Linked DNA regions of Danio rerio. The protein of the gene in region 3 purifies or fractionates together with the protein of the main gene of each other region. This does not show direct contact. Links are inferred from orthologs where the notes say so. Each region holds a gene or a part of one and is shown on either strand. Other genes may lie near its edges.

Region 1 (4,761 bases), on a different chromosome or scaffold from region 3:
TTACCAAAATCATTACAATATTCAGTAAAGATCATGTTTCATGAACATATTTTGTAAAATGTCTGTCTGTAAATATATCAGCTTTTTGATTAGTAATATTCATGGCTGAGAATTTCATTTGGACATTTTTAAAGGTGATGTTATCAATTATCAGATATTTATTTAACCTTGCGATTCCTGATTTTTATATAGTTGTATCTCAGCCAAATATTGTGGATGCATAAATCCCAATTTCCAAAAAGTTGACTGGTTTTGTGATCCAGGGTCGCATATAAAACAAACAGAAGGTTTAGTGGAATTTACTGTAAACCACATCAATTATAAACATCAAGCATTTTATTACTCGTAAAGCAGAACTGAAATTTAGCATTGTCTGCGAAATGTGCTACACAAACACCTACATCTTAGTAGAAAGAAATTCAAACACTGGGCATGCATGTTTTGCATGCTAGATGTTAATTGTTTTATTTCATATTCTGGAAAATCTATTTCGACAAATGCATGAAGGGAGTTTTTTTATTTTAAAGATGTTTTAATATGTTATTAAGTGCATTAAGTTAGAGATAAAGTACATCCGCTGGGTTATCACCTCAGATTAAAGCCGGACTGGCTTATAAGTAGGCCCACACGGAATCTGCACGCTCAAAATTCCACAGATTTTCCGCAGATTTTTAGCCCATCATTGATTCTGTTTATTTGCTTTAGTAAATGTGTGTAAATCTAAGTTTATTTAGTTTTTAAATTAATTACAGTAATATTATTGACTAATATGAAAATGTTCATCTGATTAATGTCTTTTAGTAGATATATTATATGAGACTTGATAATTGGATTTGCAATTTAAACATTAAATAAAAGATGGATTACTTTTTAAGGTTTTAGTTATGATACTCCCAAAATAATTCCGCAGAAATCCAGATTTTAAGCAAAATTCTCAGCAGAATTAGCAAAAAATGTCAGCAGATTCCGTCTGGCCCTGCTTATAAGCAGTCTGACGCAAAGACTCAAGGGCTTTGTTTCTGTAAAAAACAATCCTCCTGGATTTACTTTATGCTGCTTATTGCATGGCTACTTGCCACAAAACATGACAATAAGACTTTAATTAAACTGACAAAAACTAAAACAGCTAATGGACTATACACTAACTTGTACATTATTATTCAGTCACAAGATGCTGCCAGACAGTCCAAAAAATTATGCTGACAGAAGTGAAACCGACTGAACAAACCATGTACCAAACTATACATTATTTATTCAGAAGATGTCGCCAAACAAGTTTAAAACCACAGCAGTACAAACAAGGAGATCTATTTAAATGCAGATTTAAGGATTTGAACTTATTCACTGACGCTCAACGATTCGAAGATCCCATATGAGCCTGTATTATTTGTTAACTCTGAATAACATACCTTGGAATGTCACGACTGACCAATCAGAATCGAGTATTCCAGACAGCCGTGTTATAACTCTGTTTAACGTACAAGTTTAAATCAGACACTTAACTGTTGCTTTGTTCACTGTTTCTAAATTACATACACCAGTCTAGTCTGATAAATTGATTAAAAAAAAGAAACTTAATAAAACCACATACTGAAGTACTTTTTTTTTCAGCTTGCACAAACCTCAAACATCATTCAAGCTATGCTATGTTACGAAAGCTCTTCTAGGAGTCTGTAGCGTCTACCTTGAACACACGAAGGCACATTCCACACAGGACTAGCTCAGATCGTTCATCAGACACTTCTCTGTCTCCCTCCTCCACAGCTCAAGCTCACGCCAGAGTATCTGCAGCTGATGAAGTACCAGGCCATAGCTGCCAACAGCAAGATCTACTTCGGTCAGGACATCCCAAACATGTTTGTAGACAGCAGTGCCTCCCGTCCGGCCGCAGGAGAATCCGAGCAGCTGGAGTCCTTGAGCATGAGAGAGAGTCTTAAGAAAGCGTCCAAGCCCAAAGCCTCAGAAGGCCACTGAAGGGCCTGAGATCTGTCCACCCCCTTCTTCCTCTCTCTCTTTCTCTCTCTCTCTCATTCTCTGTCTCTTGTTTTGGGGCAGGGGTGCTTGTGAGGCATGCTGACATGGATATTTTCCCTCTTCTGCTGCAGTGGTGTTGGGTGCTTGGCTCGCTGAGGAGACTGACATACAGAGCCTTTGGTTTTCCAGCAGTCATTAGTGGACTAAATGGTAACGTCCAGCAATTGTGCTATTGATTATCGCCAGATTCGAAGCTAAAATGTTCCTGTTTCACATCAGCATGCTTTCTTCCCCCCTTTTTTTGTTGCTCAGCTTTCTCTTCTCTTTTACAGATCCATGCTAATTATTTGTTAGATGCAGATGCGTCTGCGTAAAGTATGTGAACATTTGGAGGTTCATCTTTTGTGTTGTCTTTTGAAACTGGAATTATAAGGCATCACACTAATTAGAAGGCAGTGAGTGGCTTAAAGGGATAGTTGACACAAAAGATGTTTTGAAGAAAGCTGAAAACATGTAACCAATAACATTCCATAGTAGGAACAACAAATACTATGGAAGTCAGTGGCTACCAGTGTCCACCATTTTTTGGAACTCAAAAAGGTTTTCAACAAGTAAATGATGATTGAGTTTTGCGTGAACTATCCCTTTATATATCTACAATATGATCAAACTCATTTTGCAGCCAAACTGTCATCTTCTTTTTTTCATATGTTGTTAAAGGGATGTTTCACTACACCTCTAAATAGTCATCATTTGTTCATCCTCAAAGCGGTGATGCTTTCTTTTGTGGAACATGAAAAGATAAACTACATTTTTCAATATCTTTTTTTTTTTTGTCCATACAGTGCAAACCAACAGTCTCCAATGTTGAACTTTGCTTGGATCACTTTGGTTTTAATTAAATGGACAAAAATAATTAAAAAATAATAACTTTGTTTCCAAAATAAGTTAAATCCAGTCTGGAATGATGTGAGGATGAGTAAGCAATGACAATATTAAATGTTGGTGAGTAGTCCTTTTGCAAAAGTGCTCATGTCCATCATCACTAACTTGATAAGCACTAAAATCTTAATTTAGTTGAGCCAAGACTGCAAAGATCAGCGGCTTTTATATGTTATTAATTATAATTCTGATTATTATATGTTTGTAAGAATGATCTCATTTTAAAATCATCCCTTGCTTGAGTTTTGTTGGTCTTCAAGATGAAGATTTTTGACATCATTGACGCCTGAATACTTTTGTTGTGAATTGGATTTCATGTAATGTCAGAAATAGTGGGTTGTGGTATAGTGTTGTGTAGCATGTTCATTTGTGGCGGCCCTGTGGATTTTTCAAGTTGTTGGGTTCATACTGAACAGGGTTTCATACAATTTCAGATTTCATTTTCCAGGGCTTTGACAAGCAATGAGATTGGATTGCTTTCGGATGGTCGTGTATATATAGTGTAGTGACTAACAAATGCCTTTCTGACTTTAGTTGAACTTGTTTATTTGGTCATTACTGGAATGAGTTTATTTCAAAGGGAATTCAGTAACAATAAGGGCTGCTGTATTATTAGGCACTGTCAAACATTTAGCATTATGATGAGCGGGTGTTTATACTGAGAAGTGTCACCACTAGGGGAAGCCAGTGATCTTCAGGAACTACAAGAGTAGGCAACAAACAGTTAAAAAACGTTGTGGTTTAGCTTTTCTTGGAAGTTGTCAAATCTGTATAAGTTGCAGTCATATGCCAATAATAGCAATGCATTGCATCAAATCATTTCGAATAGCGTCTGTCAGTACTATCTCAGGAAAAGAGACCTGCGTGTTAACTTGAATGGCCTGTTTTTTTCTTTCTTAGAAAACAATATAAACTTGACTGAAATTTGAGTCGGGTGTCAGTTTGTGTTGATTGTGTGAATCTGTCACACGACATGTTGATTTTTCATCATTTGCAGACTGGTCGATTAAAGAGATGAGCACTGATTTAATACAGTTAGTCCGATTGTTGATGCTACATCCTGTTGCTTTTGCCATTTTCCCTTTTAAAGGGATAGTTCACCCAAAATTCTGTCATTTACTTGTGCTCCTAATTGAGTTTGTTTCTTCTTTTGAATACACAAATGAAGAAACACTGAGGAATGTTGAAATAAAACAGCCATTGAATTCCATAATAGTTTTTTTTTTTACTATGGATTTCTGTGACTGCTTTCTCCTCTCAACATTCTTCAGAATATCTTGTTTTGTGTTCAACTGAAGATAGAAATTCCTAAAGGTTTAGAACCACTTAAATGTGAGCAAATGATGAGGAAACGTCAATTTTTGGGTGAGCTATCCCTTAAGTTTGACTTTATCCATGGTTTTGCTTTAGAGTGTGAATATGACTGTCTTAAAGCGATGTGTTCCCTGTGGTTGTTAAATGGAGAGAGGACAGACTTTGACTGCCCTGGAATAAACCCACTCTGTGAATGTCACTTTTTTATGTCAGCGTAATTTAAGCTCCTAATTTTAAAACATTTATATGCAAAATTTATAAAATTTTGACAATGTTCAATTCTGTGAAATAAAACCTATTTTGATACCATGAAAACGACGCTTGTGTGATCATATTCCTTCACATTAGGGAAGTGCACTTCATGTCCTATTAAGGAAGTGTTTCACATAGCTTTATGTCATAGATTGTGTCACGATTAATTGTGTTGTAGTTTGGTTTGAGCTATTTTCCAAGAAATATAGAGGAATAGGAAATAGATCTCATCTTTCATATGTAAGAAGTGCGGTATAAAAATATAAATTTAAGTATATG
Region 2 (6,549 bases), about 6.0 Mb from region 3:
ACATTCCAACATGTGCGTACTTATAGTCTGCAGGAACCTTAGGTCTTAAACAGACTTCAGTATTATGACATAATTCCAGCTGAAACAGAGTATTAGAGAAAAGGGTTTCACTTCAGCGCTTTACTTTATTAGCCGATTATTAAGAATATTGTGATTTCCAAAGAAGCGTCTTTCCAGAGCAGAAGCTAATGGAGTGGAGATAGACACGTTTACATGGAAATCAGTAATCAAATTATTTCTGAATATGGCAATATTATGATTAAGGTGTTTATGAGTAGCTTTTTGAATGTTCCTTTCATGATCCTGTTTTACATGTTATAGCACAAAATTCGATTATAACGTCATCACGCTATCCACATTTCCACATTTCCTCCGGAGTAATGTAATTTGATGTAATTTCGGGTGTTTCATTTTTAATTTGTTGACTTCAACTACAGTTTGACTCTTTCACTTTCATTCAGGAACATTTCATTCATGCCCCCTGTGACAAACAAGATATTGGATGAGATTAACAGCTGGAAGAGTGTTGTTTTAATATAATTTGATATCGCAGTTTGCCATCTTAATTAACATAAACAAAGAACACTGATCGCTTACCAAAACTAGACAGGACAATCAACATCAACTAGAACCGCGTTTTTTTTAAAAGAAGGAAAGCGGCAAATCTGGATTTCACCATTTCCAGATGTGAAAAGCTCATCTGGTAAAAAAAACACTGACGATCCATATCTCCAAACAATTCTTCTTCTACTACTTGTTTTAATTATGGTTGGTCATCTGGGCACTGTAACAGGTAAAAACCGTCTTTGAACTATATCATGCATATTAATGAAGTTGCACCTCATTCACAGTAGAGCGCGCTGATTGGTTCGAACCAAGTCTTTGTAATGAATTTATGCTGAAAACTCAGACATCATGTTGTACCGGTTCAGACATCCAGTCTCCATGCTGGAATTTACACTATGATCTCATGGCCGTAACGCAGCTTCAAAATTTCTTTTTAAATCTGAAGAATGAATTGGCTCAAATATTGCAAAACCCACCAATTTTCACTTTTTTGTGAAATATATGTGTCCTAATAGTGTTTTAGCAACGTGAGTCATATTTATGATTGTCAACATCTCAAAAAAATGTGTTTTGGTGTTTCGTGACTCGTTAACATCCACAGCACGTTTCCATTGCACATAAGTTTCTCTGTTGAAAAAAGGTTCATTAATGTGTTTAGGATGTCTTTCACACCAATAAAATAATGCTTCTTTTCTGAACTTTCATCAACACAAAAGCTTTTTAGATATCAAAAATGGTTATTTTCTAGCACTGCAACGAAAAGCCCATTTTGGAACCTTTATTGTAAAAACAGCAGCTAAAGAGTTGTTGACAGTCATTCTTGACAAGGGGCAAACATCAGACTCATTTATCTGGTGAGGAGTGGTTCCACTGAGGTAAGAGACTGAACTCTGTTCTGCTCTGAATCAATAAACTATAAGTACACAAGTTTATTTACAGTGGGGGAACAGCCCACTGAGCATCATGACCTGATTTCTTGTTTTCAGTCTCACGGACACGTACTGCACGCTGTCACGTATAGCCAACAAATCCGCATTATCTCATACACTTTCAGGGCCTGTTCACTCATAGTGAACTAAAAAAAAGTTCATATCAGCAAAAAGCTTTCTTGTCTGTACCCTGAAAAGATTACAAATACATTTACCCAACAAGTAGTTTGTTTTGTGCAAACAGGAGAACAGCAATATTGAACACTGAGAAAATCTCGAATCAGTGCTGTATTGCTTAGTTACTGAAAAGGATTTAGCAAAGCAAGGTCATTAAACTTAACCAATCTAGAAGTTTAAGACTTTTCTGCATGACTCTGGCATAGCGTCAACACACACACACACACACACACACACACACACACACACACACACACACACACACACACACACACACACACGCACACGCACACACGCACACGCACACACGCACACGCACACACACACACACACACACACACACAAGGCGAACAGCTGATGGCGAACATCAACAGCGCGTGTCTGTCAGAGAGGGGTGGCGCGCGTTCGCGTCATATGGCCCGCCGCACTCTGATTGGCTAGAGAGACTCACCAGACATGACCGCGCTTGTTTTCTGCAGAGGAAGCGCGCGTGTGGCAGTGTTCAACTGAGGGATGAAAAGAGGCAGCAGTATTTCTCTTACAGATGATGTGATCAAACAACACATCTAAACTATTTGTAGGTAGCCTTTCGTTTTTGTAAAAGAGTTTTGAAAGCACAGACGTGTTCTGCTTTAGACGAAGACATCGCTAAAAGATCAAGGTGGGTAGCCTATTCATTCCCTTTACTTCCACTTCATACTCATTGGGAACAGATTGTTTTTTGGGCTACAGCACTGCTTTTTGTAGCGTAATACTTGACTTTCAACATTATTTTATTTGATCAAGTTAGTGATAATTATTAATGAGTATTACTGTTTTCCAACAGTGCCAAATGCCAAGACTAGAGGAACATTGTTGGAGCTGCTCCTGTTCGACCAGTGTGAAGACGAAGGACCTGTCAAGCGCCGGCTGGATTGTCTGTAAAACGGGTGAAATGATGTCCATCATAACCTCAGTGCTGAGCCACGCGTACGGCTCTCTGCACAGCCTCCAGTCCGCCAATTTAATTCGACGGGGGCTTGTGTTGTTTATCGTGGGAGTTGTGCTCGCTTTGGTGTTAAACTTGCTACAGATCCAGAGAAACGTTACATTGTTTCCAGAGGAAGTGCTGGACACGCTATTTTCGTCCGCCTGGTGGATTCCCCTCTGCTGTGGCACCGCTGCTGGTGAGTCTGTCTGAAACACTTGGGCTCGAATGCTTTGTTCGTGACGATAACAAACAAAGACGGTGTGCTTGCTGAGGGCTTTTTGTTATCGTGTCTTTTATGTAAGATGAGTGATTCGGGGACAGTTTTGTTGACATTGGGCTTTGTAGCTATCAGTAAGCGCTGCCCTGGTAACAGCCGGGCATTTGGGGTCATTCTTGGGGTGCTGCATTCTCATTGGCTGCGCTCAGAACGGGTGAGCTGCGAGAGAGGCACGCCATTGGCTGGTACGCCGAACATGCCACTTACCCGAAAAGAGAAACACGGAAGTCGTGTGCAGCAGAAATTAATAAATAATTCGGTCACGCTCGACTCCTCCCCCTGCATTCCTCATAGTGGTGATGTGGACGCGTATCAGTTTACATCCTTTTCAGTAGAAAATGCCTTTTAAAGAGTTTTGTTGTACTTGAACTCTTCTTATGAGATTTATTTAAACACAAAAGTCATCACCCATTATTTATATACTAAAAGGCGTCAAACAATACCAAGCAGATGTAAAAAATGTTTTTTTCTTCTTCTTTTTTCCCCCTTTCAATGAATGTTGTTTAAAGTACTTTCTGTTTTCTCTTCTCAGCTGTGGTTGGTCTGTTGTACCCCTGCTTGGACCACCATCTTGGAGAACCACACAAGTTCAAGCGGGAGTGGGCAAGCGTGATGCGCTGCATTGCTGTCTTTGTGGGCATCAATCACGCCAGTGCTGTATCCTTAACAGTGACACTTTTACAGTTGCAACCATTGTGGACAATGAAAACTTCCAAACCTTTTTGAGATTTTTGTTTTAAGTCTGTAATAAGCCATGTTACTATTCAATAGCATTAGACAAATCCTTTTTTTTCTTAATCTCTTAACTGTCACATATTTATTTGTTTTTGTCTGAACCTGAATTTATCTTGACAAATTATACATCAAAGGCTAAACTAAAAAAGTGGGGTGACCCGTTAAAGTACTAAACATATTTACACAGCAATAATCTATGCAACGAGAATTATGCTTATCTAATATTTTTAAAAAGTCTTATGTATTGAGGATAGTTGTAATAACGCTGAAAAATGACTAGAAATGCTCAGTACTCTGACCCGGCCAGAAGTTGAAAACTCTGCACACGATATCATTTAACCTTTTTTAAGTTTTGTTTTGACGACTCTGAGTCTGTGTTTTTGGGTAAATGAACAGCAAAAATGCATAAAAGTTTTTATTTTTTGTTGTCATGTAAATATACCTTAAAACTTTACATTAACTCTGAACTCAAACAGTAACATGCACTTCATTGCCAAGAAACCCCATGTAAATGAGAACTGGGTTTTTTAAGAACTAAAAAAAAAAGTTTTTAATAAATTTGACTACAAAGTTTTTGTGGAACCTGTTTACTGCTCTCCAAATGTGTGGACCAGCAAAAACTTGGGAACCTGCACAAACTCAATTCTTGAGTTAACATCACAATGTTTTCAAAATGTATGTTAACATAAGAATATTTTGCTTAACTCAAAGTACCTTACAGAAACTGGACTTTGCTAACAATGTGCAGCTATCGCTAACTCTGGCTGCCCTGTCTCTGGGTCTGTGGTGGACATTTGACCGCTCCAGGAGTGGCTTTGGTTTAGGGCTGACCACTGCCCTGCTGGCCACTCTCATTGCTCAGCTGCTGGTCTACAACGGCATCTACCAGTAAGTTATGACTCAAACATGTTGACAAACAGCAACAGAAAACTGTTTTCATATCAACTAGCAAGTAACTAACACTCTCACATATTCATAATTTTAGTCGTAGAACATGTTTTTTTTGTAAGAAACATTAGCAAATATTATATCAAGTGCAAACACTCAGTTTTGTTTTTCCTTTAAGCAGCTCGTCATTTCAGTCCTTTTCTTCATTTGTTACCAGGTATACTTCTCCAGACTTCTTGTATGTCCGTTCATGGCTGCCTTGTATATTCTTCTCTGGCGGAGTGACTGTTGGAAATATTGGCAGACAACTAGCTATGGTAAGAAACTGCCCCTCATACCAGCCCCCTTTTCCAGTCTTTCATATTCCACAGAATAACTGATGTACTTGATTACTCATGTATTGTGGTTAGTTTCCTCTTGTGTTATGCACAAAGCCAATGGCCACTTTTGTTTAGCTTAAAATAAATAAATGGCAGAAATGAAACTTAGCTTTAGCTAAAGCAAAAGTGAAACTCAATATCTTGGCTCATCAGCTATTCAGCTGTTCCTCTTCTACTTGTATCCAGCCTGCGTGTTTTAGGAAGTAAATCAAACTTGGAGCCAGAATATTTAACTCAACAATTTCAATGTGTACAATTTAGCATGCAGCCGTAAGCTCTGTTCAGACAGGATTATTTTCTAAATGACATTAAAAGACAGTCATTAAAACAGGACTTGTGGCTTTCATAAACTGATTCCAATTAGGTTGGGAATCAAGTTTAACATTAGCAAAAGGAAGTGTAAAGATGGCTTGGGTTATTGTATTTGATGAAGGTAAAACTATCTAGATGTGAACAAACTAGGTAGCTGAAAAGTGGCAGGCAGTTTGTATTGTAATATTCATTTATACTTATAAAAATAAGCTAACTAAGTTTTAAATCTGCCTTAAATAAATGAAAACTAGGATTTAGGATTTTTGTGCATTCTCTTAAATATGTATAAACTATTTTCAGTATCCAATGTATTTCTTTAAAGCAACCAGTTTACCATTTTAGTGTTCTTTTGACACCCTCTAGCGCCTGAGCAGAAACGTCATGCTTGGACATCTTAATTAGCTTGTTTGTGCCATCCCCTCCAAGCCTTCTCAGTCAGCTGTGGCTCTTTGTCTTGCTGACATACCCTAGTTCTTTCTCAATAAGGGCGTGAAAGAAGATTACGCTCCTTGTTTTTCATGCTAATGGTCAGAGAGATGGTAAACAAAGTGCTTTACTGGCTCCAAGTGGTGCATTCTACACGTTGTTACTGGATGCTTTTTGTTTTCGAGCTGGCATCGGCTGATTTTGCTTGACCAATTGGGATTAGTGCTCTGCTAGTATTTTTCCCAGCTTTCTTTATGGAGGGGCCAGTTAAGAGATAGAGTTGATTAAAAAAACTAGAGGTAAATAAATCTAGTAAACCCGGACGTTTGCGTTTGTTAATCTTTTCATGTAAATAATGGCTGTATTTTAGAATACAACTATGATCATCAATTATGGTCACTCTACATAGTTTGGTTTAACATCTGACTAATTAAATAGTTCGATATCTAGTTTACACCATTAACACCTTTACCTTTTTATCATCGTCATTTCGTTGTGTACTGTAGGTGCACTGGAATCATTTAGAGAACATTGCCTGTATATGAAACGTTGTCATTTTTATTTCAACATTAGCTTTCCTAAAGACGGATTCAGCTGCCCTTGGGTGAGGCATGGCAGACAGTGCTGACCTACGAGGGGCTATCAAATTTTACAAGGCTGCCCATCCACATATAATCCTAACATATACAAAGCCCATTTCTTATATATAGTGCATACTAATTATGGCCACAGTGTTGAGAGGCCAAGTGGGTTTAACGGGATCAGGCTCAGCTTCATGAAAACCAATTTTGAGTTGCTCAAAGCACATTTTTAAAAGCACACCTGGGAACATGCTGGAACATATTTAGGTAGTTTGAAAGTCAGCCAAGTGCTCTGACTAATACATAA
Region 3 (5,967 bases):
TTTCTCAATATGCGTTCTTCAGCGGTCTTGCGTCCTCGTGTTCTCGTGAAACGTCATCATTAGCTGCCTAAGTTCAGTTCCAATACTCAAGACCGCAAGTACGGAGGACGCGTGAAACTTCCCGGATGTGTTCTTGATATCGAGGACGCACCGATGCAGACTTCAACAGCGAACTCGCTCTGGAAGTCCCAGAAGTCATTGCGACTGGAGGTGGAAAGCGCAGCATTTTATTTAGATTTATTATTAAAGTTCAGAGATATCACTTATTTACCTCAGGAGTTTCCCTAAATGAAACGGTGAAGGTAAACATTAACATGAACATCTTAATAAAGGAATAAACACATTAATTGTGTTTGTTTGATGAAATTCGTATTAAAATTTGTTTTATTTATAATGTGCAGAGTATATTTATAATGTTTTTATGCAAAGTATATATTTTGAAGAGGGGGGAAACAATAAATCGTTGTATGAAGGCTGTAATGTTTAATTAATTTCCAGTTAAAACGCGTAAAGGTCACATGACCATCAGGAAGAACGCAGCATCCCATTTCTCAAAGGACGCGTTCTCTGCCCTCGCGGTCTCCTGAGTTCGTTCTTCCGAGGACAGCTGGCAAGACCGCACTCTACAAGAACGCAAGTCCATTCTCTGCGTTCTTTGGAATTGAGAAACAGCCAATGTCCGATCTGCCTGAAACTTCACATGGTTGATTAAATTCTTCTCTTGAACATATCCCCATACCTATATTGAGTTACAGTCATAGCGCCACCTGCTGACAGAAGGAATTTTACCTTATAACTTAACCACACAATGTCTGATCTGCCTGAAACTACACATGGTTGATTAAATTCCTCTTCTGAAGACATTTAAAAGCCAATATTGAATCTGTCATAGTGCCACCTGCTGGCAGAATGTAGTTTGGCTTATAACTCAGCCACACAATGTCTGATCTGCCTGAAACTTCAAATGGTTGATTAAATTCCTCTCCTGAACACATCCACATAACATAATTGAGTCAGTCATAGCGCCACCTGCTGGCAGAAGGTAGTTTGGCTTATAACTCAGCCACACAATGTCCGATCTGCCTGAAAAATCACACGGTTGATAAGACTCTTCTACTGAAGGCATCTACATAAAAATCTTTAGTCACAATTATAGCGCCACCTGCTGACAGGAGGAAGTTCGGCATAAATCTGTGATTTTCTCTGGTTATTTATATATATCAGCTTAAATTAATGTTGTTCGCTGTTCTCTCTGTCATCCTGAGGCTACCGGGCGGCGGTGAGCCCGGGTGCGAGGTCCCTATCATCGCTGCTTGCAGCTTTAATTTTTTATTATTTTTTTTCCTCTAAGGCAGATTTTCACAAAATCCATTTTCACAAATCCATTCCTCTTCCCTATCCCCAAAATTTCTCAGAGTTCTAAAATTTGGACTGGCACAACCATTGTATTAAAGATATTGTCTTAAATCTGCAAATTAACCCTTAAGATGTTTTGTGAATATCCCCAGATCTCTAACTGTGAGTCTGAAAGTCTGGCTTTGAAAGACTAGTGTGTAAAAGCATGTGAAAGCAATCACTGGGTGTGACAGAAAGCACTCTATACACTCGTTTTTTAATACACAGATTCTGTTTTTCTAGTGCCTAATGGTATCTGTTTATGTGAACCATTCAATTCTTCGGTAAGTATTTGGAAATGTGAGTTTTCAGAAAGTAACATATTAGTAACATAATAAATTAATATAATAAACTAACATCTATCAACAATAAGTTATAACATCACAGCAAGTTCTAAATACAAGTTCCATATACAATATAGTGTCAAAAATCATACATTTGCGCTTTATTGAAATATTGATGAAACTTCTAAGCATATTGTGTTGCTGTGTTGCTTGTTAAGTTACTTGTGTTCATAGAAACATGTATATTGAAATAGTATCCCCCCCAAAAAAAACACAAATCTACTATGGAGAGTTGATGGAATATGAATGCTTAATTTTTTTTATTGTAGCACGAGCAGCATAACAAATAAACTGGACTCTTCATAATTATTTATTGATGAAGAAAAAAATAATCCAGTGGGTCAGGGAATGTTGAGATAGATATTAAACAAAAGGAAAAGCAGTAGTTGAAGAAGATAAATCGTCTAGAGAACTTTGTCTTGAGTAACATTAAGCAGACTGCAACAGGTTTTTTATGCTTAAAATCAAAGATTAACCACATTATTATTAAATATGTTAACATTATATCGCCCCAAGAGGTATAATATGAAAGATGGGTTGCAACAGTAGTGAACATACCTGACAAAATTTCTCTCTGAAAGTCCGAGAAAAAGAAAGGAGGGGGAGGGGGGTCTGGGTGTGGGGTTAGTTGGGGGTAAAATTATGGGAGTTTTCCGGGAGAAATAACAAAATGGGAGCGTGGCAGAAGATGGTAGTGAATATGTATTCACTGTTACTGTATACTTAGAGTGCATCCAGAAAGTATTCATAGCACTTCACTTTTTCCACATTTTATTTTTTTTACAAACTAATTCCAAAATGGATTAAATTCATTTATTTTCTCAACATTCTACACACAATACCCCATAATGACAATGTGAAAAAGATTTTTTTTTTAATTGTTGCAAATTAATTGAAAATAAAAAACTTGAAAAATCAGATGTACATAAGTATTCACAGCCTTTGCCGTAAAGCTCTAAATTGAGCTCAGGTACATTCTGTTTCCACTGATTATTCTTGAGATGTTTCAGCAGCTTAATTGGAGTTCACCTTTGGTATATTCAGCTGATTGGACATGATTTGAATATAAAAGTTCCCAGGGTTGACAGAGCATGTCAAAGCACAAATCTAGCATGAAGAATTGTCTGAAGACCAACATTTTTTAATTTTCAGGGGGCTAAAAATTCTCCCTTGTTATCAGTATTGACACTAACATATATATATTTTTAAAAATTGCCTGGTTAATTAAAAAGTTCAACTTAAAAATCTGATTGGCTTGTAAAATATATAATTATTTGTAATATGTATTTAGTTTTAACAGGACTCAAGTATAGATTCTTTGCAAAATCCTGAAGGGACTGAATACACATCTGCTAAACAAAAGCCCCCATAACTTGAAATTTATGTTACACACATTTTTCTAAAAGTTGCTTAATATAAATGATATATCATTTTTGCCCAGGTACGCAATTCACCTCTATGACCTGATGTGTGATAGTTCCTGGGAAGGTAAAGAGGTCTTTATTTATTACACAGACTTTGTCATGGAGATGGGTATTCTCCTCCTAGATATGATGCACCACATCAACATGCTGGTGAGACAATCATCTTTTTTGTTAGAAAATATTTCATTTATTTAAAGCAGTGGTTCTCAACTCCAGCCTTGGTGAGTTATGTCTGCACATTGTGCATGTATTTCTTAAATAACACAACTGATGCAAATAATCTAACCATAAACAATGAGCTCCATTAACTGGACCATATTTGTCCAATTAAAAAGACAAAATTGAAGTTGAGAACCACCGATTAAAGGGGTATATGTGTGGCATTGCCAAACCCGTGATATTAGCGATACTAGTAAACTGCAGTCAGCAACTTGTACACTCTTCATGTAAAAGGACTGAGTGTGATTGAGTTCCTTAATATACTTAAAAAAAAAATACTTTAATTTGTAAGAATAAAGAGGTTGGAAACATTTTGCAGCAATATAGTGATGATGAACACATATGCACCCCATAGTGATGCTAGTTTGACATTTAACATAATTTTTTTTCTCAATATCAAAATAAGCACAAGTTACATAATAGTATTACTTTTCTTATTAATGATTATAAGTAATGCATTATTTTAAAAAAAGAATAAGTAAAATTATTTAAGTTACTTTAAAAAATTTTATGTGAGTTACTTTTTAGTTGAATTAATTAGCTTTTAAAAAATAAATTGCTGCATTCTTGGAAAAACTGAGAATTTTCAAGTAGACTTACACTTTGTTCGATTACTCTGTTTGAGACTATGAACTTTAAAGCTTTGTGAGACTGTAGATAATTAATTATAATTAATTATCTTTTTTTCTAAAACATATTAACATTGAAATATAGTTTTTCTTTCAGCATTATCCTCATTGCATAACAATTTGTTTCATGTGTCAAAAAAGAGAAGTTTCTAATTAGAATAACATGCTTCATAAGTCCAAATCCTAATAGACAACCTAGGAAATCAGCCAAGGTCTTGTCTCAAGAGTTTCATTAGAAGCTGTTTACACACTGACAAAAGAGCTAATAATCTATGATAATCCTTGCATATAGCTCCTTTAATAAATAATTTTACAGGATTTTTTTGCTAGTAAATAATATAATGAATAGCACTAATTATCCTTGATTTTTGCCTGTGTTTTTCTTTTTCAGCTATATGGGAACGTTTGGTTCTCAGTGGCTGATTTATTTATACTGACACACATACGATTCTTGGCAAAAGAAATGCAGCGCAAATTATTTCAACACAAGAACTACATGCACATATATGATGTTATGGACACAAGGTATGTTTTACTGCTAAGCTTTTTTATATATCTCTTTTTGCAATATCAAAATAAATACTAAGACAGTCTGAGAGTGTGTGTGTGTGTGTGTTGGGGGGGGGGGGTGGACATGGAGGGCATTCAGAAGAGAGAAATGTCAAATTTAATGTCAATCACATGCAATTTTGCTGCCGTGTTTTTTATATAGGTAGTACTAAAGTGTATATCACTGCAAAGTACCAACACAAACTTGTACTGTTGTAAATGTAAATTAATTCATTAATATATGAATATAACAAATATTAGAAAACATTGTCTTTTTCACATTGTTAATTAATGTTTCTTCAAAGTCTTTGAAAGGAGTTGATTAATATTTAATGGTAAACATGAATTTCCTGAAATGTCAGTGTAAGTTTCGCCCCTTTATTATTGTGCTGTATGTTAATTTATTTGTATGTGTAAATAAGATAACTGCTATGCACTGTGTTTTGGTAATTTGCAGTATTAAAATGGGAAAAGACAAGCTTATAAATCATAAAGTCTTTTCTTTTGGCAGGTTTTCAATGGCTACAATGGAAGAGCTGGCATCTCGTGATGACAGATGTGTTATTTGCTGGGAAAAGATGTACACAGCATACAAATTACCCTGTGGCCATCTATTTCACAAGTATGAAACAGATCATGTGTTTACTTTGTTCCAATAAATGACTTTACCACCCTAGGGAATGACATTAGGTAAATGCGAGTTCATTTGAATGGGTCGTGTATTCATTGTTTCTGTGGAACAGTCATTGTTCTTTTGCTAATTAAGACTATACGACTATAGTGAACATGTTTTGTTGTTTCCCAGGTCATGTCTGCGTTCCTGGCTTGAGCAGAATATGTCATGTCCTACATGTAGGATGTCTGTAAATATGAGTGGCGGTCATACTGGAAATGAGCAGGAGGGGGCATTGTTCAGTTTGGGAGCAACTGATGTGCCTAGCAGACCTCCAACCAGATACCACAGTCAACTTTTTCATTTTAATGGTAAAATTAATAAATACTTTTAAAACTAGTCAATGCATTTATAAAATATGCTCTATAATGAAATTCCACTTTACACACCATTCAAACTATGTATTCCTTTGACTTAATGCTGTATATTTATGTACTTTACAGGCTCGTTTTCTATGTTTTTTTAAGAGATCATTGCTTTAAAGGGGAATTGTACACTTTTTTTCTACAGTCACTCTTTTAGCAATCTTCAAAATAGTGTTTGGGTATCTATTGGAAAATGTCTTACCTTTTGTACAGTAGTTAAACTTTTTAAACTTGTTAAATTTTTCAGGTTCTCAAATTTCAAACTGGCTGCCTGGCTTTTCAGTTGAAGTTTTGCACTCTCCTAATTTAATTATTCTACTACAGGCAGACGACTCTCGGGTAAATGTTGCTATGTACAATGTCATAATG
Region 4 (6,064 bases), on a different chromosome or scaffold from region 3:
ACAGCGAGTGACTCTGCTGTTCTGATGCAGTTAGGGAGTTCATTCCACCAATTGGGCAGATTGAGCGTGAGCGTTCGCGAAAGTGATTTCTTCCCTCTTTGAGATGGAACCACGAGGCGACGTTCATTCACAGAACGCAAGTTTCTGGAGGGCACATACATCTGCAGAAGTGAGAGCAGATAAGAAGGAGCAAAGCCAGAAGTCGATTTGTAAGCAAACATCAGAGCTTTGAATTTGATGCGAGCAGCAACTGGCAGCCAGTGCAAACGGATGAGCAGTGGAGTGACATGTGCTCTTTTAGGTTCATTAAAGGCCACTCGTGCTGCTGCGTTCTGAAGCATCTGAAGAGGTTTGATAGTTAGCTGGAAGCCCGGCGTGTAGAGAGTTGCAATAGTCCAGTCTGGAGAGAACAAGAGCTTGAACAAGGAGTTGAGCTGCATGTTCAGATAGGAAGGGTCGGTCCTTTCTGATGTTGTAGAGTGCGAATCTGCATGATCGAGCAGTTCTAGAGATGTGGTCAGAGAAGTTTAGTTGGTCATCAATCGTTACTCTAAGGGTTTTCACCATTTTGGATGCAGTAATGGTTGCCCCATCCATCTGTATTGAAAAGTTATGATGTAGAGTCCGGTTGGCAGAAACTTCATGCATTTCTGTTTTCGTGAGGTTAAGCTGAAGATGATGATCTTTCATCCACTGTGAAATGTCTGACAGGCAGGCTGAGATGCGAGGCGGAACCGAGGGATCATCAGGGTGAAAAGAGAGGTATAGCTGGGTTTAGAGGTTACATATGAGGGCCGCTGATCGACGCACAGCTTTAATGGAAAGAAAGTGAATTCAGACATTTTTAGATAAATTTCAACATGCTTTCAGGATTAAAAATATGAGAGAAATATGGGAAAATACCTAATAATAGGATATAATGGTAAAATACGGGACAATCCATGGGAACGCAAAACATCTATGCGAGGGAACGCAAAAACTTTCAAAAATATGTCTACCTATCACCTTTTTTTTTTTTCTCCCACCCATTATTTTTTCTTTCACCATCACGTCCCTTCCGGGTCTCCGTAGAAAAGTCATGGAATTTTAGTAGTAAAAATGTGTATGAACCCTGTATAGTATGGTTGAAAAACACTGCAGTATTTTCATGTGGGCAAGCTCAGGTTACACATTTACAAACAGTTTAGTGACCGCAAAAGAATAGGAGACTTACACTATCACATTTTTCTAAAAACTACTGATGTTTACTGATGAAGTAGCAGGTTCGATTCAAAGCTGTAGTAAACCTCCAGAAAACGACAGGCATTCACAAATAACGTTCAAGACATTTAGAGTTTATTTGTATTAGTACGTTGTTGTAAAATCTTTATATAATTTTAAAATGACATTAATATAACTTATTGCAATAATTTCTGACACAATATACAGCAAAATAAATATGTAAAGTGTTGTTATTATTTATAGTGACAATATTATATAAATATTATTTCTAGTATACATCAATGTTTCCTATAATTATACATGCATAACGTGCATTTAGCTGTAGTGAATATTAATAATTACAGAAATTTAGATTTTTTTCTGAATATTTTTATTACAGAATTACTTCAAAAAATATAAATGGATAGTTTTTCTTTCTTTAAATTTAAATAAAATAAACATTTTCTCTTTTACAGGGTTTAATAGGTTGGAGTTACTACTTGATAATGCTTCCCTTCAGGTTTACGTATTATACACTTCTGGACATATTCAGGTATTACATCAATTGATCTTTGAAATATAAATGTCGACCTGAATTATATTACATTACTAATGTTTTTTTTCTTGTCTTTTTCAGGTTTGCCCTGAGATTCATTCGACCAGACCCGAGGGGTCGTGTCACAGATCCTGTTGGAGATGTCATGTCATTTATTCATAGTTTTGAGGAGAAATATGGTCGATCGCATCCTGTATTCTACCAGGGAACATATAGCCAGGTATGCTAAAGGGCTCCTATGATTATGCTTTTCACACTAAAGCAAACCAAATGTGCAAAATGATGTTATTTGAGCTTGAAAATGATTGCAAAATTACAAGACTCATTCTAAATGTAGTTATTTACTGTATTGTTAAAAAACATTTTTCCCAAGATATAATTCCTGCACAAGGAAAATGTTGCTGTATTACATATGTAATTCACTGATACTCTTGTGTTTACATTCAGACATAATCAACATGTAATATACAACTTATTATAACAATTGGTTTTGTGCGACTTTGGCATAAACATTTGTATTTGGCAGGAGGTAAATTAGAATTAATACTCACATGATTGTCTCAGGTTAAAATGTACCTGTTTAGTGCTGAAATAACATATTTTAAATTTACAAGGGCTTAAAATGTGTGCAGATGTTTTGCTTGTGGGTTCTAGAGTAACTCAGGCACAGGCTGTAAAGGCTCCGCCCTCTTTTGAAAAGGGGAATGGGCAGCAAAAGCTCATTTGCATTTAAAGAGATAACGTTTAAATGTAGTGATCTAAATGCTAGACATTTGCAGCATGATATAATAAATTGTGGGCTGATATAACAATTTTGAGCTGAGACACTTGCTGGGGACACCTGAGAAGAGCATAATGGGGCCTCAATACAAAAAATGATTACACTTTATTTTACGGTGCTCTTGTTATCGTACATACTTATTATTAATTAATCTAATAATTATTAATTATTAATCTATCTATCTATCTATCTATCTATCTATCTGTCTGTCTGTCTGTCTGTCTGTCTGTCTGTCTGTCTGTCTGTCTGTCTGTCTGTCTGTTTATTACAGAATACTTTATTATTAATTAATTAAATGTACTTACTATATGTTATGGTTGGAATGTGGGTTAACCCCTTCTACAACTGATAGGTGTAAACTATAAAATGAGCCTTTTATTATGGATGTGAGCCTTTTACCATCTCATTGGATAGAAACAAAACAACAGCAGAAACATCTGATAAGAGTTTTCTGCGGAGCTTAGTAAACACAATGGTTTGTTTGTAGTAAGTGTAAAATAGTGTCTCAAAAGCAGATCTTTGGGGTTAAGCTACTTAAAGACTGACAGGTTAACATTGATGCTGATGAACTGTATTATTCTTACACTGCTAAATAAGAAGTGTATCTAAAGAGCTTGTTTTTTTTCTAGGCTCTGAATGATGCCAAGCGAGAACTTCGCTATTTGTTAGTTTATCTTCATGGAGAAGATCACCAGGACACTGACGAGTTCTGCCGGTGGGTTTACAGTGACGTTCTCCACTATTCACATGAAGTTTCGTCTCCTGATCTTATAACTGGAGCTGGTGTGTGTTTCTCTTTCTCAGATCCACGTTATGTTCAGAAGAGGCGCTCACCTTCATCAACACGAGGATGTTGTTCTGGGCATGTTCCACCAGCAAACCAGAGGGTTACAGAGGTGAACCAGCTGCACTTCATATTGTCTAATAGTCTAATAGGGACTAAAATTTAGTCCCGCGCAGATCTCTACATCACAACAGCGCAGGTTCTAATTCGTTCTGTTCGCTGTTGATGTATTCAGTGTGATGTCCCACATAAATCTTTAACCATTACCTGTTAGCATTAGTTTACAGGTAGATGCATCCATTAATGATCAAGCATGGTGGATTGCTAAAGCCAAAAATGCCAGAGCTGCAGTGCAATATCATCCTGCATTCTCATTTTTGTTTTACCTTATATCTTTTATCAGCCCTGGATGAGTGTATTGTCATGTTGTCGTGATCATCATGCCGTGTGTTCAGTCTCTCAGGCCCTGCGTGAAAACACCTATCCATTCCTGGCCATGATCATGCTGAAGGACCGGAAGATGACGGTGGTTGGGAGACTGGAGGGTTTAATCCAGCCGGAGGATCTGATCAACCAGCTGACCTTCATCATGGAGGCAAACCAGACATATCTCATGTCAGAACGACTAGAGAGGTACGGATATCACATGGTTTGATTTGTTCAGTATTTAGTGTTTTTGCTTTCAGCAGTAACATTTACATGATGCTGAAATAAACTGGACTGAAGCTGTTTCAATTTACCAATACTTCATCTGTTTTAAGCTGCAATCTACATTGTAAAAAGTGCTATAGAAATCAAGATGAATTGATTTTTGACTGTTCCGCATAGTTGTGAGAGGGTCATTTATTCTTTACATGTGTTTTATATGCATACTACATACATACAATTATAGAAATGATTCTCAGCCTTTTTTATTTCAAGAAAGAAGTTCATTAGCACTTCATTTTAGTCTCTGGACTCTCCTAACTTTTTAATGCTAATTTTTCTTTTTAAGCAAATTTAATGCAGAATTGAAACATTTAAAAAATGGAAATTTTCAGCAGATGACCTAAATAACTCTGTGGAGGGGATGTTTTTGCATCGGAACAAATAATTTAAGGCTGTTAAAATGGCAGATGTTTAAAGGGTGATTTTAAAATTTAGCTTGGCGCTGCATCGCGGACCTCCGCTGACTGCGTGCACACCTCATGAAACAGACGAGGATTTTATACTTGACGTGTTCGCCATTTTGATATTCTTACAGGGGGCGGACAAAAGAAACCAACTGAAAAAAATCAGATGGATAAACAAAGATGTTTCTGGAACTACGTCATATCATAAATATCATTCAAGATTTAACTAATTATTTTAATCCCTTTTATAAATTATTTTATTGATTATAAAGATTTTTTTTTATCCATTCAAGAATTATTATTTTTTTTTTTATCAAACTTTGATGCGTCACTTGCTTTTGTTCATATCTCAGACAGTTTAACCTATTAAAGTTAAGTATTAAAATATTAATGACAACAGAACATGGGTTACTCTACAAATATATATAAATGTATGTATGTATGTATGTATGTATGTATGTATGTATGTATGTATGTATGTATGTATGTATGTATGTATGTATGTATATTTTTATGTTATATTATGGAAAGCATAAAAGTTATATGCTTAAAAGGCAATAATGGTCCAACGTTCCTGACCATTATCACTAATAATGCCTAGAAAAGCAGGACATTGGTGTTTTGTAAACCAATATGTTCAAATATACTTTTCCAGTTAACAAAGAAATAATTGTGTTGCTTCATTTTAGTTTTGTAACTATTAAATTGTTTTAAATTCATAATGCAATATACACACATCAGTGTAAAACCCATGAATGCTGAAAAAACATTCTCCACACGGGTCTCCACTTTTTCCATGACCTCTCTTTTTGGTTTAACAAACTTTATCAAAAACTTTCCTCCTTTCATCCTTAGTATTTCTTTCGAAACCATTAGCACTATGAAATATGCCGGTAAATATCATATCATATATAAGAATAAATATCATAAGTAGAAGAAAAGAAAATCCAAATCTCTTTGTCAGAGTTATCATATGACACATTACCAGTATTTTGAAGTCAGTTACTAAAGGTTTAAAACAGAAGTCACCAATCTCGGTCCTGGAGGGCCGGTGTCCCTGAAGGGTTTAGCTCCAACTTGCCTCAACACACCTGCCTGGATGTTTCAGGTATACCTAGTAAGGCCTTGATTAGCTTTTTCAGGTGTGTTTGATTAGGGTTGGGTTGCTAAAATCGGCCCTCCAGGAACAAGTTTGGTGACCACTGGTTTATATTTATGATTTAATGACAACGAAAATTGCACAAAATAATAGAAATTTAAATGTTAATTTTAAAATAAAATATTTTTAATCCTTTTTAATTTCAATGCATGCTGCAGTGTAAATACTGTTTAATTTCAAAATAACGACAATGTTCAAATTATGCTCATACATATGGCAAGAGGAGTCATTTTTATTTTGATATTATGCTGCAGTAATTAAAACGAACATTAAAATAAGCTAAAGCATTCAAACATTGTTTTGTTTTATGCAATCGGGAATTTAGAACCACTACTTTAATAAATACTTCTTTATTTAATTGATCGTGTTTTTGTGATTTGCAGGGAAGAGAGGAATCAGACGCAGGTATTGCGACAGCAGCAGGACGAGGCTTACGAGGCATCACTGCGAGCAGATCAGGAGAAAGACAGAA

What was found.
Region 1: the proteins of amfrb (region 3) and erlin1 purify together in Homo sapiens (affinity purification with mass spectrometry; 3 studies listed by BioGRID and IntAct, with this or other methods). This does not show direct contact. The link is inferred for Danio rerio from reciprocal best matches to the Homo sapiens genes AMFR and ERLIN1.
Region 2: the proteins of amfrb (region 3) and insig1 purify together in Homo sapiens (affinity purification with western blotting; 6 studies listed by BioGRID and IntAct, with this or other methods). This does not show direct contact. The link is inferred for Danio rerio from reciprocal best matches to the Homo sapiens genes AMFR and INSIG1.
Region 4: the proteins of amfrb (region 3) and faf2 purify together in Homo sapiens (affinity purification with western blotting; 9 studies listed by BioGRID and IntAct, with this or other methods). This does not show direct contact. The link is inferred for Danio rerio from reciprocal best matches to the Homo sapiens genes AMFR and FAF2.

The regions. Positions count from the first base shown.
Region 1 is NC_133188.1:27,917,644-27,922,404, reverse strand, and holds the end of erlin1 (erlin-1), read left to right. Parts: intron 1-1,764; coding exon 1,765-1,974; 3' UTR 1,975-2,807; downstream 2,808-4,761. UniProt on the Homo sapiens protein: Component of the ERLIN1/ERLIN2 complex which mediates the endoplasmic reticulum-associated degradation (ERAD) of inositol 1,4,5-trisphosphate receptors (IP3Rs).
Region 2 is NC_133182.1:41,358,398-41,364,946, reverse strand, and holds the start of insig1 (insulin-induced gene 1 protein), read left to right. Parts: upstream 1-2,175; 5' UTR 2,176-2,334; intron 2,335-2,499; 5' UTR 2,500-2,505; coding exon 2,506-2,839; intron 2,840-3,452; coding exon 3,453-3,577; intron 3,578-4,192; exon of another isoform or gene 4,193-4,376; coding exon 4,377-4,543; exon of another isoform or gene 4,544-4,760; coding exon 4,761-4,860; intron 4,861-6,549. UniProt on the Homo sapiens protein: Oxysterol-binding protein that mediates feedback control of cholesterol synthesis by controlling both endoplasmic reticulum to Golgi transport of SCAP and degradation of HMGCR.
Region 3 is NC_133182.1:35,370,964-35,376,930, forward strand, and holds part of amfrb (E3 ubiquitin-protein ligase AMFR-like), read left to right. Parts: intron 1-1,638; coding exon 1,639-1,679; intron 1,680-3,180; coding exon 3,181-3,313; intron 3,314-4,402; coding exon 4,403-4,536; intron 4,537-5,071; coding exon 5,072-5,182; exon of another isoform or gene 5,183-5,250; intron 5,251-5,365; coding exon 5,366-5,544; intron 5,545-5,845; coding exon 5,846-5,937; intron 5,938-5,967. UniProt on the Homo sapiens protein: E3 ubiquitin-protein ligase that mediates the polyubiquitination of lysine and cysteine residues on target proteins, such as CD3D, CYP3A4, CFTR, INSIG1, SOAT2/ACAT2 and APOB for proteasomal degradation.
Region 4 is NC_133189.1:56,136,489-56,142,552, reverse strand, and holds part of faf2 (FAS-associated factor 2), read left to right. Parts: intron 1-1,676; coding exon 1,677-1,753; intron 1,754-1,837; coding exon 1,838-1,976; intron 1,977-3,166; coding exon 3,167-3,252; intron 3,253-3,341; coding exon 3,342-3,433; intron 3,434-3,776; coding exon 3,777-3,954; intron 3,955-5,975; coding exon 5,976-6,064. UniProt on the Homo sapiens protein: Plays an important role in endoplasmic reticulum-associated degradation (ERAD) that mediates ubiquitin-dependent degradation of misfolded endoplasmic reticulum proteins.